3 linked regions of the Drosophila melanogaster genome follow. Changing the gene in region 3 together with the main gene of any one other region gives a genetic interaction. Each region holds a gene or a part of one and is shown on either strand. Other genes may lie near its edges.

Region 1 (7,741 bases), on a different chromosome or scaffold from region 3:
GCGCGATTTGAAAAGTTTGTATATAAAAAATATATCCCGGTGTTTTATGTAGCGATAAACGAGTTTTTGATGTAAGGTATGCAGGTGTGTAAGTCTTTTGGTTAGAAGACAAATCCAAAGTCTACTTGTGGGGATGTTCGAAGGGGAAATACTTGTATTCTATAGGTCATATCTTGTTTTTATTGGCACAAATATAATTACATTAGCTTTTTGAGGGGGCAATAAACAGTAAACACGATGGTAATAATGGTAAAAAAAAAAACAAGCAGTTATTTCGGATATATGTCGGCTACTCCTTGCGTCGGGCCCGAAGTCTTAGAGCCAGATATGCGAGCACCCGGAAGCTCACGATGAGAATGGCCAGACCCACGTAGTCCAGCGGCAGATCGGCGGCGGAGAAGTTAAGCGTCTCCAGGATGACCTTGCCCGAACTGGGGCACGTGGTGTTCGACGATGTGCAGCTAATTTCGCCCGGCTCCACGTCCGCCCATTGGTTAATCAGCAGACCCTCGTTGGCGTAACGGAACCATGAGAGGTACGACAACCATTTGAGGTATACTGGCACCGAGCCCGAGTTCAAGAAGAAGCCGCCAAAGAGCAGGAATGGTATGATAACCGGCGGACCCACAGACAGCGCCATCGAGGTCGAGGAGCTGGCGCAGGATATTAGATATCCGAAGGACGTTGACACATTGGCCACCAGAGTGACCAGCGCCAGGCAGTTGAAGAAGTGCAGCACTCCGGCCCGCAGTCCGATCATCGGATAGGCAATCGCCGTGAAGACCAGTGGCACTGTGAGAAAAAGCGGCAATTCGGCAATCGTTTTGCCCAGAAAGTATGTGTCACAGCGATAAAGTCGACTTCGGGCCTCCCTCATAAAAACTGGCAGCTCTGAGGTGAACACCTAAATCGAATCGATTCATTAGAAAGTTAGTAAATTATTGAAATGCAAATGTATTCTAAACATGACTTACATTTATCGTGGCAAAGACGTTTTGAAAGGTCATGTTGGTCAGGAAGAGGAAGATGGCTCCGTTGATATTCATCACACCCACTTGCGTGAGTTGTTGGCCCAAAAAGATGAGGCCAATCAAGATGGCAACCATCTGCAAATTAAAATGTTACTCGCATCTCATTAATATTCGCGAGTTAAATGAAATTTATTTATCTTCTGCAAAACTATAAACTATACATCTCATTGAAAAAAACTAAGAAGGGTGTGGAATCAGGCAATTCTATCTAAAATCTAGCGAATTTGTTTCCAAGAATTGTAAGCGTTATATCATTTGTTTCCACTGGAACCACTCACCGTTGTCTGAATAAGTCGCACTTTTACGAGGAGTGGTTCCTTGAGCACCGACAGCCAGGATCGCCACAGGACCGCCCGGAACTGCATGAACCAGGTGGCCTTGTAGGTGTACCCATTCTCCGGCTGCTCCAGTGGCTTCTCCAGATTTTTGGTGGCCAACAACTGCTCCATATCCCGGGCTACTTTGCTAATGGCAAAATTGTCGCATATCTTGGCGATCCGATCACGGGACTCGATCTCCCGTCCGGGCACAACGGCCAACACCTGTACGTAAAAGTCCGCCGGATTGTAGTTGGTAGGACACTGGGCACCCACGCTGGATAGGAGTTGAGATGTTATGTAATACTAGATACCCTTAATAAACACATCGAACTCACTAGGAAAAGAAGTCGACGGCTTCGCTGGGAGTGCCCAAGAAAGCTACCCTGCCCTCGGCCATCAGAAGGATCTTGTCAAAGAGCTCAAACAGCTCGGAAGACGGCTGATGAATGGTCAGGATGACGGTCTTGCCCTTCTGCGACAGCTTCTTCAGCACCTGGACGACGCTGTGGGCGGTAAAGGAGTCCAGTCCGGAGGTGGGCTCATCGCAGATCAGAAGCGGCGGATCGGTTAGAGCCTCGGAGGCGAATGCCAGACGCTTCCTTTCTCCGCCGGACAGACCTTTCACCCTGCCGGGCACACCGATGATCGTGTGCTGACATTTGCTGAGCGAAAGCTCCTGGATCACCTGATCCACGCGGGCCACTCGCTGCCGATAGGTCAGATGTCGTGGCATCCGCACCATGGCTTGGAAAATCAGGTGTTCCCTGGCCGTTAGGGAGCCGATAAAGAGGTCATCCTGCTGGACATAGGCGCACCTGGCCTGCATCTCCTTGGCGTCCACAGGTTGGCCATTGAGCAGTCGCATCCCGGATGGCGATACTTGGATGCCCTGCGGCGATCGAAAGGCAAGGGCATTCAGCAGGGTCGTCTTTCCGGCACCGGAACTGCCCATCACGGCCAAAAGTTCGCCCGGATAGGCCACGCCGCAAACTGAGTTTCAAATTGGTAATTGGACCCTTTATTAAGATTTCACACAGATCAGCCGACTGCGAATAGAAACTCACCGTTCTTGAGCAAATGTTTCCTGGGCGCCGGTATGTGTCGCTCGTTGCAGAATAGTCCGCGTGTCCGGTTGACCAGCTGCCGCCATCCGGAGCCCGGCTGATTGACCGCCCCAAAGATGTCCATATTGTGCCAGGCATAGGTGAGGTTCTCGGCTAGTTGGCCGCTCCCTGAACCGGAGTCCTCCGGCGGACTGGGTGGCCGGAGCGTGCCGTAGTTTTTGGCCTGCCCGAAGCCCTGGTTAATGCAGCTCTGCGAAGCCGCTCCGCTGTCACCCTGCAATGATAGGGGATCTCAAATATCAACTACAAGCGTTATGCTCATCTAACCCCGAACAAAAAGTACCCCGAAGTATCCTACGAAGTAGGTTTATACTTTTATTTATTTTTTGTGCATCTAGAAAAGGTTTCAAGCTGAAAACTTTTCAATTTCACGGCGTTCGTCCATAAAAATGAAGGCGTCTGTGCATAAATCTAGCCCAGCCTGGCCAATCCCTGCTCCGCCGTCCCTGTTTCCGGGCACTAACCCCCCCCCCCCCCCTCGGCTTTATAAAGAAGGAGCCCATCTGTTTAATAAAAATGCCCAAGATCCGAGTTTTCCAAGTTTCCCAAAAAGGAGATGGCGAGGCCTATTTAAAATGTGCAAATTAGGGCTGGCACTTGGTGGATGGCCTTGAAAGTGGGCGGTGGACGGTTGACGGGGTCACAGGTCGTTGGGCGATGGACGATGGGGCGATGGGACGATGGGTGGTGGCAGTGGCAAGGTTCCTCCACCATGTTGCCACCTCATAAGACAATTGCGAGTGTAAATCGCTGGCATCTTTGGCTTTCGTTTGGGGACTTTGAGCTTCGCCAGTTTTGTTTTTATTAAATATAAAACTTTAAGGATACTTTGGCTTTTTTTGGGTGGTGGGAAAACTCAATCTCTTGTAGATAAGTGCAATGAGCAGTATAAAGCAGTCCATTTACTTGATCCAATTATGTTGAACGCAATAGTGTTCAAACTACTACTTCTGCAATTGAGTTTAAGTTTATAAATCCGAAATACAAATTCTTATTTACGTTATTTTGTTTACGGGTAAAGTGATTTCCAAAACCACTGAGCTGTCAGTTTTCGCCCAGGTGGGGCTTCCCTTTTCGAAATGGCGGTAACCGAAGACGTTTGCGGTATGGTCAAATCAAGCCATCCTCCCCGCCCCAACTTTTCGCCCCATACCACTTCCGTTCGCGCATATTTTCATTTTCATAAACAATTTTCCGTTTTCCATTTGTGGGGTTTCTTGCCATCGCAGCGGCCTGCGGCAAAGCATAAATAACAGGGATCCACTAATTGGCGTCGAGGCAAAAAAAAAAAAAAATGGAAAAAACAAGACAAAATGATGGCCACAATATGGAAAGCATTTTATCCGCCGCTGCTCTCATAATAATTTGTATAAATAATCATAAAAAAAATTAAGCAAAAAAATGCAAGCAAATGAGAAAGGCAAAATCCGAAGAAGAGGGCCAAATAAAAAGCTGACATTCAATAAAAGCAAGAAAAAATAATGTCCACCTTGCACTCAGCGCCTGGCGGTCCTTGCTACAGTGAGCCCTGCTAAGAACTTTCATTTTTTGAACTATTTAAAATTAAATTTATTTTTCAAAACGATTGGGGGATTTGGATTTATCGTTTACATTGCTACATATAAAATCTAGCTAAAAGACCAAAGCCTGAAAACTGTTGCATTTCCTCCTTAGCGAGGCTTCACTGCTCATCTTCTGCTGCGATGCTTTGACAGCTTATTCTTCTAGCCACTCAGTGTCCAGTTTTTGGCCTGTTACCAAAAAAAAAGCACAATTGGTGACGTTACGAGAGGTAGACGCGAAAAAATGTAATATCCGTTTTCAGGCACTCCTCGAGCAGAGCGAGATGGCCATATGGCTGGGAAAGAGATAGAGGGACATGGCGAAATTGTTTTCACAACAAATGAGGCCGAAAAATGTTATTAAAAAGTTTTCTTTTCTTTTCTGTTTTCGCCGTCCCTTTCCCACTGGGTTTTCTTATCTCCCTGCCTCCTCTGGTTTACTCTCCCACCTTTTCCCTATTTTCGTATTTTGTTGAAATAAGTAGCGAAAGATGCTACATTTCATATTTATTTAATTTTTTGGCTTACTTTTTTTTTTATTTACTTTGCGTGCTATTTTTGAATTACTTACGAAATACGAAGGAAACTCGAGGAGTGGGCGCTAGATGGCGCTGTGCAGGGAGGCGAAGGAGTATCGTGATGAACTTGACAAATTGAAATGACTGAATAAAGAAGCGACTCAATTTGTTGTTCCTCCCGTTTTGTCGATTGTGCGAGTGGCTAATGAGTGCACTCAAAAGTCATTCACTTTGATGAGAACGAAATACTGAAGGAGGCGCAATTATTCAGCGGAAAAGCTGACGACCACTCGATATTATTAAGGAAATATCAGAGCGTAAACGGCCCAATATGTACATATATGCAACGAACATATAATTAAAGATGGCTTCAAATATTCCATACATATCATATTTTTCAATACTTTGTTACCTTTACTGCGTTACTTACTTCCCAAAAGAATTAAAGTTCTTATCTCCTTGTATAACTTTTTGAGACTTTTCAAAATTGTTTCAAAGAGCCCGGGGCTAGATATGCAAATCGTACTCACTTATTTATTTTGTTATACAAGCCGAGGTGCTAAGAATTTAAAGCAAGATACGCACGAAGATACCTAGATATCAGATGCTGAGCCCAAAGCATTCGTCTAGCCAAATAATGACCCAGATAAGACTAGATTGTACATTTTTCGTCGAGCGAGACGTGCAAACAACGAGGTATTAAGATCAGGTAGAAGATGCGAGTACACAACCAGAAATGGATACGGATACAGTATCTAGTATCTTGGCAAGCCTAGAGTTATAGACACCCAGCAATGTTGTTGGCCAACTTAAGCCGACTCCTCCCACGCCACCACTGGTTATGCGTCCCTAATTACGATCTACTACATCCAACTATTTGGGGTCGATGTATAATGTAGTGTAGTGTAGTGTAGTGTAGCAAGAAAATATTTGAGAATGAAAGGTGGAAGAAATGAGGACTTCATGGTAAGCTTAAAATATCTGGTTGTTATATTTTTTGTAAAAAAGAATATAGTCGAAAATGAATGCCTTTAGATGTCTTGATCATGATATGATCTCAAAAATTGTCTTATATAGCGAGAACAGCTACCAGAATAATCTGTTTCGTGTCACTATTTGTTTGTGCAATTGCGGTTTGGGATTTTTGTGGGTCGCAGTTCTCACGCCGCAGACAATTTGATGTTGCAATCGCAGTTCCTATAGATCAAGTGAACTTAAGATGTATGCACATGTACTACTCACATTGTTCAGATGCTCGGCAGATGGGTGTTTGCTGCCTCCGCGAATTAATAGCTCCTGATCCTCTTGGCCCATTGCCGGGATTTTTCACACTTTCCCCTGCTTACCCACCCAAAACCAATCACCACCCCAATCACTCAAAAAACAAACAAAAATAAGAAGCGAGAGGAGTTTTGGCACAGCACTTTGTGTTTAATTGATGGCGTAAACCGCTTGGAGCTTCGTCACGAAACCGCTGACAAAATGCAACTGAAGGCGGACATTGACGCTACGTAACGCTACAAACGGTGGCGAAAGAGATAGCGGACGCAGCGGCGAAAGAGACGGCGATATTTCTGTGGACAGAGAAGGAGGCAAACAGCGCTGACTTTGAGTGGAATGTCATTTTGAGTGAGAGGTAATCGAAAGAACCTGGTACATCAAATACCCTTGGATCGAAGTAAATTTAAAACTGATCAGATAAGTTCAATGATATCCAGTGCAGTAAAAAAAAAAAATGTTTTTTTTATCTACTTTCCGCAAAAATGGGTTTTATTAACTTACATACATACTAGTGACAACATGTTTATGTTTAGCTAATGTGTTCCGTTCAAAATAATTAAAAATTCGACCACCTTTGCACCAATATGATAGTACCCCACCTGGGCAGTACTCATAAGCTGAGTGGCTGTCTTTGAATACTGATTAGGTTGAGTGGGAAGCGTCTTCTTATCGTGAATAAGAGAGTTCTTGTTAATCCGCCTGTTGTCGTCCCGTTTCGGGGGTTTGCACTGTACTTTGCATGCATGATTTATCAAACGGCGACTGTTGATGATGCGCATTCCGCACTCCCCGTTTCCCGTACGCCTATCCGCACCCGTACTTCGGACACTCCGGTCGTTGTCGTCATCGTTAGCACCTCATCTCAGGCCCCGGAATCATGAACTGCCGCCATCAGCTGTCCGGGCATTATCAATCTTCATCATCGGGGCCAGTTGGTCCAGGATATGGATCTCGACTGGGACGGGTTTTCCGGGAGGCTATCAATACCATTTTCACGGACGATGTGGTAACAGGTTAGCAGTTGCAGTTGCCGAGGAATCTGCAGGAATTAATTTGCTGACGACGATTAAGTGGTCTTCAAATGAATATGGTTTTCTTTTGAGAGTTTAGCTCAGAATAATAGCTTTTGATTCGATTTGCAAGTTAATTATGCATATGCATGTGATATTTGTAGAAGTCTCACTCAGCACTAGTAACATTATTTCATGTGCCAGTTTTAATGCATATATGTTCTGCTCTACAACAGCTTCAAAGTTCGAAATAAATGATTTTCCTATTTCACTGAAGATCTTTAGCTGACTCAAAGTTAGATGTATGTACGATTCGTAAGAGACTTCCTTTGTGGGCCGATCTAGCGACAGACAACAAAGAAACGTCAATGTTTCACTCATTTTTGCCAACTAACCGAGTTTTTCGCTCAGTGACACTTATGGGGCTTCTTCGATGTTGGTTGAGTGGAGCTCGAATCGGGTTTAGACCGTCTTGAAGTTCGTGTTCGTGTGTGTTTGCCATTACTAACTCACTCAAATGCTGTAAACTTTTTGCACTTAACAATTTATTGTCACTCGCCTGTCGCAGCAGCGAAAGAGCTGAAAAATGGCATTACAACAAAAAGTGCTTAAAACCGATTATGAAATGCTCTAAGGGAATGCTGTAATTAATTAGTTTGCCGTTTTTATGCGCTCTAAATCAATAATAAAGTTAATTGCATACGTATAAGTATGCAGTTCATTTTTTTTAGAGTGGCCTTAACTTGATTTTTGCTTATTAGCCCTGCAATTGAACATTTTTTTTTGCCCTACCTTTGGGATTCTTTAAATTGGTTTGCTATTCCACAATGCAATGCAATAACACCGTATTGAAAAGCGAAAAGGAAGTAACTTGAACTGAGGCGTAGAAAGTTTT
Region 2 (3,527 bases), on a different chromosome or scaffold from region 3:
GTCAGACCCGGTACCCAGACACCGTGTCCAACACAATGCCAGCCGGAGGCTAGCGTCGACTCCTGCTCGCTGCACTCATTTAATTGCATTATGCCGCAGGTTGTCGCATTGCCCTGAAAGTCCTGGCTGCCACTCCGCCACTCCAAAGACACTGCATTAATTTGCATGTGAAAAACTGCAGCTTCGCTGCGCTGTCGGTGTTGTTTTTTTTATTTTTTTTTATTTTTATGGCTGCTCGCTGTTTTTGCCCAGAGTTAATGAAGTCAACAAGCTGCGGCTGCATTTCATCAGAGTGAGAAGCGGCGGGCCAAAAGGATTTGCCAGGAACAATGCTGTGTATAATTTCCCCCTGTCCTAACAACTGGTGAAAGTTTATGTTACATTCGCATGGGCAGCAACATAATTTACTGCCCAGAGAGCCACAGGAATTCCAAAATCCGCTTGGTTAGTTTTTTTTTAAGGTATAGTATGCATTCTAAAAGTGATTTGATATTTGGCTTTAAAATTTCATTAAAAAATCAGAGATTAACTTTGCAAAACACATATTCTTGTTTTCAAATTCCACGTATTACAAAAACTTACACAAATCAAGCAATAAACATCTTCATTCATATCTAAATGGTTGACTTATTTAAGAGTACTCTTATTTTACTTATAAACTTATTTAACAATAGAAAAAATATAACTAAAGTATTAAAGTATTTTATACATTTTCGTCCTACTTACGTGTAGTACAAACAAAACATTTGGAGCCTTATGGATTTGGTAGCATGAACCAATAAAGTAACATACTTGATACCACTTCCATTTAAAACTTGAAACAGCCCTTTTGTCTGGGAGGAACGCGTCGAGTACGATTTTGGCTTACTTCCCGTTGAAAACAGAAGCTACCGCTGGCTCTGCTCAAGATGTTCTCCGCAGTCAACCAGGAGATGTGCGCATGCTCACCGAATTTTCTGATCGAATTCCTTACTCTCTGATGGGCACTTGCGGCCGAGTCGTTGTTGCGGTACTCAAATATATAGAAGAACTGGTCTAATTGATACTCGTAGACTCGAACGATGGTAAAGGGATGTATCTTCAACATCTCCTGGTACACTTGCCATGGTCTAAGCGACGATTCTACGTTTTTGAGCACCAGCTCGCGATTGTTGGTCGATGGCTCCACCCTTAAGCACATGCAAAGCTGTCGGAATCGCATTGGCAGACTGGGATTATTAGGGTTAGTGCTGTTTTATGTGAAAATTATTACGAAGTACGTACTATTGCATTGCCGATTCCTTGAGGTCCACATTGATATATTGCAAGTAGGCGTAGCCGCGAGAATTTCCCGAAAAATCAATCTTATAGCGCATAATGTAAACTTCACCCAGTTCGCTGGCCACTTCCACAATCCACCGCGGAGAACAACTGTGATTCCTCGGTATACACGAGAGAAACAGCTAGAAGCAAAAACGTATTAGTGTCTCCGTAAACTTTTGAGACTAGATGCTTCACTAGACACTCACCTCGCCCTTTCCCTCATCCAGTAAGGATTTTAGATTTTCATCAAGGACTTTGCGCGTAGTTATGGTAATAGTGCCATTTACTTGACTGGTGCAGTATTTGCTCTCGAAATCCATTTTAAAAATAGCAAAAAAAAAAAAATACACAGCATACACGCGTGCATCAAAAAAAAAAAAAAAAGCTAAGATGCCAATGATTTAGTGTGACCAAATAAGCTTTAAAACATACAACGCTCGCGACGTTGCCAGATAGTCAATGAAGTTGGTAAAATTCTTTATACTTAACACTTAGGTAAAGTAACGGAGGGGCATAAACTTATTATTGTTTATGAACTTGTTTGAATGTTTAACATTTGTGTAAAATAGAGAGTGTTTTCATATTATATTTTTGCGTAAGAGGTCTTTTTTTGGCATTGCTGCGAACTCAGCTCTATACGAAGGTATTCTATTTTTGCTATGTACTTTATGCATTTACTTTACTCTTTTTCCAAACCGCTTTTTGCATGTCAGGCAATTTCTTTGCTCTTTATTTTTGCTTTCTTTTGACAGGCTGCGCGTGCTTTTTTCTAGCTCATGTTTAACAATATAAATTTATGCAGGCAGTCGGTCGTTTGCAACTTTTGCTCACAGTTCGCCACAAGCCGCAGCACCTATGTATGTATGTATGTAGGTTCGCATCGCATTCGCTGTTGTTGTTGCTGCGGTTAAGCCGCCCATCCGCCACCCACTCCACCACCCACTCACCCCACCAGGGGGCATCTTGATGGAGGTTGCGGTGCACTCAAGTGCCTGCTGCCGCTGCTGCTGCTTCATTTTCCTAATTTATACGCGCGCTGCGCTAATGAAAATTTACGTGGCAACCGCATACTGTTTTGTTGCTACTGCTGTTACACTAATAATTCATTGTTTCGAAATGGCCATAAGCAAATTACTGACATTAAACTATTTGTGGGAGGTAACATGTTGTTAGATTAATACACAACAGTTTTCTTAAATGAAGTGGTAAATGCAAAAGCTATCACTGTGAAGTCCAGTTTAGTCCACGTAGTGTAGAGACGCACCAGGTAAGAGTGTTTCGACAAGAAAATCCATTAAGTTCTTTGAAAAGTAAGCTCTGATATTCTTTGTTTAAAGTGTAGTGTCGCTGCTCCTTGTGCTTGTTGCCAGACGTGGGCCCACCACTTGAAGCATCTCTGAGAAACCCTGAGCTCCACTTTTGACCCCCCTCCCCTTTCTGCGGTTGAGAGACGTTTGGTGACAGTCGCCGAGTAAGGCCACTAGTCCCACTTATATTTCCGCATTTCCTTACCCGATTTGAGTAAGCGGTTTCATTTTATTCAAATCATTAAAATTACAAATATTTTTTGGGAACAAAATCAGTTGATTCCGGTTGAATATGCGAATGTGGCCATGAAGGATCTAAGCGAGGAGTTACTGGATCGCCATTTCAGGCAGCAGCTAGCCAGTTACAAGTATGCCGATCAGGCAAGGGCTAAGCAGTCGGATCGCCCCATCATGGCCAGATGGATAAAGATATTCGAGAAGGCTCCTCTCAGCGAGAAGTTGGCCCGAAATAGCCTGATGCTGCTCATGCATGGCCACTTGAAGGACTTTGGAGTGCTCAAGGAACCGTTCACGGATGTGCGTAACTACAGTAGGAATCTGAACGTAATTTTGGATGAGTACAGAGGCCAGCCATGTAAGAAGTTAGCTACTGGCAAATCACCTACACTGCTCAAGAAGTGCTCGACTCAAATTTTACGACCCAGGAAACTGGAACCCATCAAGGAGGTTTCCGAACAATCGGAAAATGATCCTACGACCAGTAGTTTTGCCAGCATTGTGACAATAATACGAAAAACAAATACGCGATCCTCTGACTCGAAGGATAGCCAAGTTTATCCAAGGACTGGCTTCGAGTCCCCAAATGGTGCTGATAGTCACACTGTGAAGAAGAGAGTCGAACTATTGGAGTATGAGCTCTCGAGAAATAAGCAGCATCCATCGAGCTCCACATTCAAT
Region 3 (4,871 bases):
TGTGAGGATGCCGCATGCATCTGGCGGGCTAGTCTCGGATCTCGTTGGCGCACCGAGTTCAACAGTGCCGGATTGACAGGATGGACTTTTGGTTTATTCGCAAAAAGCTGTAATTCCATAGTTGAATTAGATTTTTTATAGCTTCCACCATCATATTTCACAATTTACCTGCGGAGCCACTGGCATGTTATGCATTACGGGACCAACATTGCCCATTACTCCTGGAGCTCGTTGATTATGCACTGCTATACCGGGATCCGTGATTGGCGGACAAATTGCTGCTGGAGTGGGAGCAGGCATAATAATCGGTGCTCCAACCATCGCGTCCGTGGTTTGGGTCAGCTGACGCTCCTGCTCCTCTAAATGCTTTTTGGTTTGCTCCAGCTCCAGTTCCAGTTTGCGCTTCTTGAGCTCCAGCAACTCACGAGTTTTTGCTTGCAAAATCTCCTCCATGTCGCTGGTGATTGTGGGGTTACCAGGCATCCCAGGAACCAAACCCTTTTTACAATTGAATGGATACATTGGTCTAACTAAAGGGATTAATAGTTATTTGGGGCACTTACCGGTTTTAAGAAATCCGGATTAACATGAATGGCCGGATTGACGTGAATTTTGTTAGTTGGCTGTTTGGCAGTAATGGGCCAGTTGTTATCTAGGCGCTTCACCTTAACGTCCAGCGCGTACATCTTGGATGGCGGGAACACCTCGTTCCAGGTCTGACGCAGGGCATACATGCGTTCCCGCACCTTTTCCAAAACCTGCGACTGTGAGTGCTGGACCTGCAGGATTGAAATAACATTAATGAACCATTGGATTGACATTAAGAAAATGATTTCGCTTACCGATTCGAAGGCGTGGAGGAATATGTTGACTATGCACTGTCCAAACAATTGGACGTAGCTGCTTTTCACATTCTTTACTATCGAATCAATTAAATATAGTATGGGCAATTTAAATTCGGGCGCCACCTGTTAGAAGTTTAGTAAAATAGGTAAGAAATAAAGAAGAATAAGTGTCTACGGAACGTCGCTAGCGGAGATTCAAACGGATAGGTTGGAAGAAAACTAATGAGACAGGCCGATGGACAACACAAGAGCAGGGTCAGCGATCGTCCACCGAAGTCATCATCCTCATCTGCTGGTGGTGGGTGCCTTCATGCCAAGGCGGTCGAACTCAAACAATATCCTAGCCTACAGAGAAATATTTTCCTAAGCATTGGGTGTTGAATGAGGAAACGCGGTGTCTAAGGATCTCCAAACATTAAGGGTTACAGTGTTGGCGTATGATGTTAGCGGTCTGTTCCCTTAGCCGAGTGAATATGAATGAAAATCGCAGTGACAATGTGGCAGAAACAAAGGCTTTTACTACTCTTACGTATTATGGACATTTGTTTTTGTTTGGCTGCAGTTTTTTTTACTTTTACGAAAACTTGCACTTTTCTTTTTGTAATACAAAAATTGCTGCACATCAATTTTTTTTATATTGATTGTAAGCAGTCAAAGTTTTTGTATAAAATAAAAGACAACTTGGTGACAATTGTTTAAGCATTTTCTCTTTTTATTTATTTTTCAATATTTTTTTAAAGGTTGTTTGTTATTCCTTAGCTTTAAACTCTGGGATCCAAAGTAGAAAGAAATAAGAAACGAGGAGCAGGTTGGTTAAACTTCTTACCTTTGTAGATGATTAAAATCAGTCACGGTTTATAACCCAAATTATGAGATATATACTAAGATTATTAGGAACCTATCTACCATTTGTGCCCAAGAGTTTGCAGAAAAACCCAACTGAAAGAACCGAGTCTTAGAAACGCATATGTGTGGCCTTCGTTGGGTTTCTCTGCAATCAAAGGGCAACCGCAATCAATAAACTGCACATTCTATCACAATTTCGATATGGAGAATCACTTTTAGTGTCGACCGTCTATTAGCTGTGTGTAAGCTGGAGTGTCTTTGTTTTTAAGTAAATACGCTTTTGTTTTGTTAACCTGGCTGATGTAATATTCCACCACTTTAACTATGATGTGGGCGTAGTTGATGTTCTCCTCGGCAAGCATCGTGAGCATATTGATCAATGGCTTGCTGTTGCAGTTGAGGTCCTGGAGACTTGACAGATACTCCTCGCCGATCCTTCGCTCATCGTCGCGGTAATTCTGAAATAGCTGCTCCATTGTGGACTCTGTATTCCAGATCTTGATCCGGATATTGATCAAGTTATTTGGTTTGAAGTAGTCGCAGTTGCTATGTTTCGACTGCAAGGGAAAATATAACAAAGTAATTAAATGACATGAAAAGCAAAGGTAATTTGTGTGAAAAAGTTTGCACTATTAATGGGATTTTGTCGGGATATTTTGGATGAATAATGTATTAAGGTTGCGATGTTTGTTAGCGATATCTTCATCTCTGCCCATTTTATTTGTAATAAACCGTGATGCACTGAAATCTTAGGCTGCACTATGTGGATAGATAATCCTGTATACAGCGTATCTATGTATGTAATTCGTACCAGACGTAAACAATCACGCGCGTCCACAAACACAAGGTAATCTCTTACATATATACACACACACACGTACGGAATGACGACGAAAATTCAATATGGCGGCCATGAGCATATTTTCGCATGTGTGGCCTGCCCGAATAAATTAACCAATAAAGTGCTTGTTTTTCCTTTCTGTACATCGCATTTCACGCTTTCACGAAATATTTACGTTTTAGTGAAACTATCTCGTTGCTTAAATTGATTTAACGGAGATTTTCCCAGACAAAGCCACGTTTGTGTTACCACTACATACACACGCGAGTTATCAGTTCGACTTCAATTTACTTTTTCGCGCTGCAGAACATTTAAAAACATACCTTTTTAAGCTAATACATTTGTACAATCACTGCCAGACACTTTTGCGAGGAAAAAATTTCACAAAAGCACTGCTACTATATAAAAATTAGCTTTTGAAAACTCTCACGTAACAACTGCGATGTATTTTTGATGACTTACACTTAAAAGTGTGGCCGTCGACGTGAAATGGAAATTATACATTTTATACAATTTTTATTTAAGGAAATATACTAAAAATATACCATTAAGGTATTTTTTGCATTAAACCGCGTTGCCAACCACTAGAAATGTTAAATTTTAAAGTGCCTTTAAAATTGCAGTATAACTAATTAAAAAAGAAATTAATGTTAGAAGTGTTTTATTTATTTAGTTTTAATGCAATATGCACTATTTAATTTTATAGGCGTTGCCAATTGAATTAATATACCACCAGGTGGCGGTAGTGGGCGATCCGAAAATTAGTATTGTTTCTTTAACTTCATTTCTTCTAGCCAAGTAACGGGTATCTGATAGTCGAGAAGTTCAAGAAGACTATATAATAAGTCTGATATTAGATCAGATAAAAAAAGAAAGAAAAAAAACAGATAAGAAATGCAAAATTCTTATCATACTTTTAATTACGCTCATATAGTAAGCAGAGAATAAATGCATATATTGCATAGACTTTTTCTTCAAGGCGGGTGTTCTACAGTTATCTCTCACTATATCAATTGCATTAACTTGAATCACCGTTAAAAGCTCGTCAAGTCCGAGCTTCAGTTCGATTTGTTTTCAGTGCGCCTAAATTCTATGAGACGAGGTTATCTGCCTAGGTCTGTTTACACTACTGCAGCTGATTGTAAGCGGAGCGAATAGAGGCGTTGGTCCAGTGTTCAGTTCATAGTGAATCTATTCGGGGAGAGGATGCTGGATGTAGTGGCTCTACTGCTTATTGCCCTGGCAGTGGGCTTCTGGTTCGTGCGGACGAGATATAGCTACTGGACCCGGCGGGGCATTGGCAGTGAGCCGGCCCGGTTTCCCGTGGGGAATATGGAGGGATTTCGGAAAAACAAACATTTCATCGACATTGTAACGCCAATCTATGAGAAGTTCAAGGGCAATGGAGCACCCTTTGCCGGATTTTTTATGATGTTGAGACCTGTGGTCTTGGTCACAGATCTGGAACTGGCCAAACAGATCCTCATACAGGACTTCGCCAACTTTGAGGATCGGGGAATGTATCACAATGAGCGGGATGATCCTCTAACTGGGCATCTATTCCGCATTGACGGGCCCAAGTGGCGACCCTTGCGCCAGAAAATGTCCCCCACCTTTACCTCAGCTAAGATGAAGTATATGTTTCCGACGGTCTGCGAGGTGGGCGAGGAACTTACTCAAGTTTGTGGCGAGTTGGCGGATAATGCCATGTGTGGAATCCTCGAGATCGGTGATCTGATGGCTCGCTACACTTCGGACGTGATAGGACGGTGTGCCTTTGGCGTGGAATGCAACGGCCTCCGGAATCCCGAGGCGGAGTTCGCCATAATGGGCAGGAGAGCCTTTTCAGAGCGTCGCCACTGCAAGCTGGTCGATGGATTTATAGAGAGTTTCCCCGAAGTGGCCAGGTTTCTGCGCATGCGCCAAATCCATCAAGACATTACGGATTTCTATGTGGGCATCGTTCGGGAAACTGTGAAGCAGAGGGAGGAGCAGGGCATCGTGAGGAGCGACTTCATGAACCTGCTGATCGAAATGAAGCAGCGCGGTGAGCTCACCATCGAGGAAATGGCCGCCCAGGCATTTATATTCTTTGCGGCGGGATTCGACACATCCGCATCAACGCTAGGATTTGCCCTGTACGAGTTGGCCAAGCAGCCGGCACTGCAGGCAAAGCTACGCGAGGAAATCGACCAGGCTCTGCGGTTACACAACGGTGAATTCACATATGATTCCATGCAGGAGCTGCGGTACATGGAACTGGTCATAGCAGGTGAGCCCGACTCAAAACGAATTTTAAATATTACAAAGATGATACCATTTACCACTGTATCTTTTAG

The links.
Region 1: of Pcf11 (region 3) and w, changing one suppresses a phenotype caused by changing the other (phenotypic suppression), as found in Drosophila melanogaster (4 studies listed by BioGRID).
Region 2: of Pcf11 (region 3) and tut, changing one enhances a phenotype caused by changing the other (phenotypic enhancement), as found in Drosophila melanogaster (one study listed by BioGRID).

What each region holds. Positions count from the first base shown.
Region 1 is NC_004354.4:2,790,440-2,798,180, forward strand, and holds w (white), read right to left. Parts: upstream 6,028-7,741; 5' UTR 5,870-6,027; coding exon 5,798-5,869; intron 2,690-5,797; coding exon 2,416-2,689; intron 2,342-2,415; coding exon 1,687-2,341; intron 1,626-1,686; coding exon 1,310-1,625; intron 1,107-1,309; coding exon 975-1,106; intron 905-974; coding exon 290-904; 3' UTR 160-289; downstream 1-159. UniProt on the Drosophila melanogaster protein: ATP-dependent transporter of the ATP-binding cassette (ABC) family which transports various molecules including bioamines, neurotransmitters, metabolic intermediates and second messengers.
Region 2 is NT_037436.4:8,209,050-8,212,576, forward strand, and holds tut (tumorous testis), read right to left. Parts: upstream 1,695-3,527; 5' UTR 1,623-1,694; coding exon 1,509-1,622; intron 1,443-1,508; coding exon 1,264-1,442; intron 1,209-1,263; coding exon 809-1,208; 3' UTR 528-808; downstream 1-527. Other genes in the region: CG8006 (uncharacterized protein), read left to right, coding at 2,916-3,527. UniProt on the Drosophila melanogaster protein: RNA binding protein that forms a complex with bam and bgcn, involved in 3'UTR-dependent regulation of a subset of mRNAs. Preferentially binds a long isoform of mei-P26 transcripts.
Region 3 is NT_033778.4:14,868,065-14,872,935, forward strand, and holds the start of Pcf11 (Pcf11 cleavage and polyadenylation factor subunit), read right to left. Parts: upstream 3,008-4,871; 5' UTR 2,856-3,007; intron 2,249-2,855; 5' UTR 2,168-2,248; coding exon 1,985-2,167; coding exon of another isoform or gene 1,907-1,984; exon of another isoform or gene 1,582-1,906; intron 969-1,581; coding exon 843-968; intron 780-842; coding exon 564-779; intron 499-563; coding exon 169-498; intron 108-168; coding exon 1-107. Other genes in the region: Cyp6a22 (cytochrome P450 6a22), read left to right, coding at 3,739-4,804.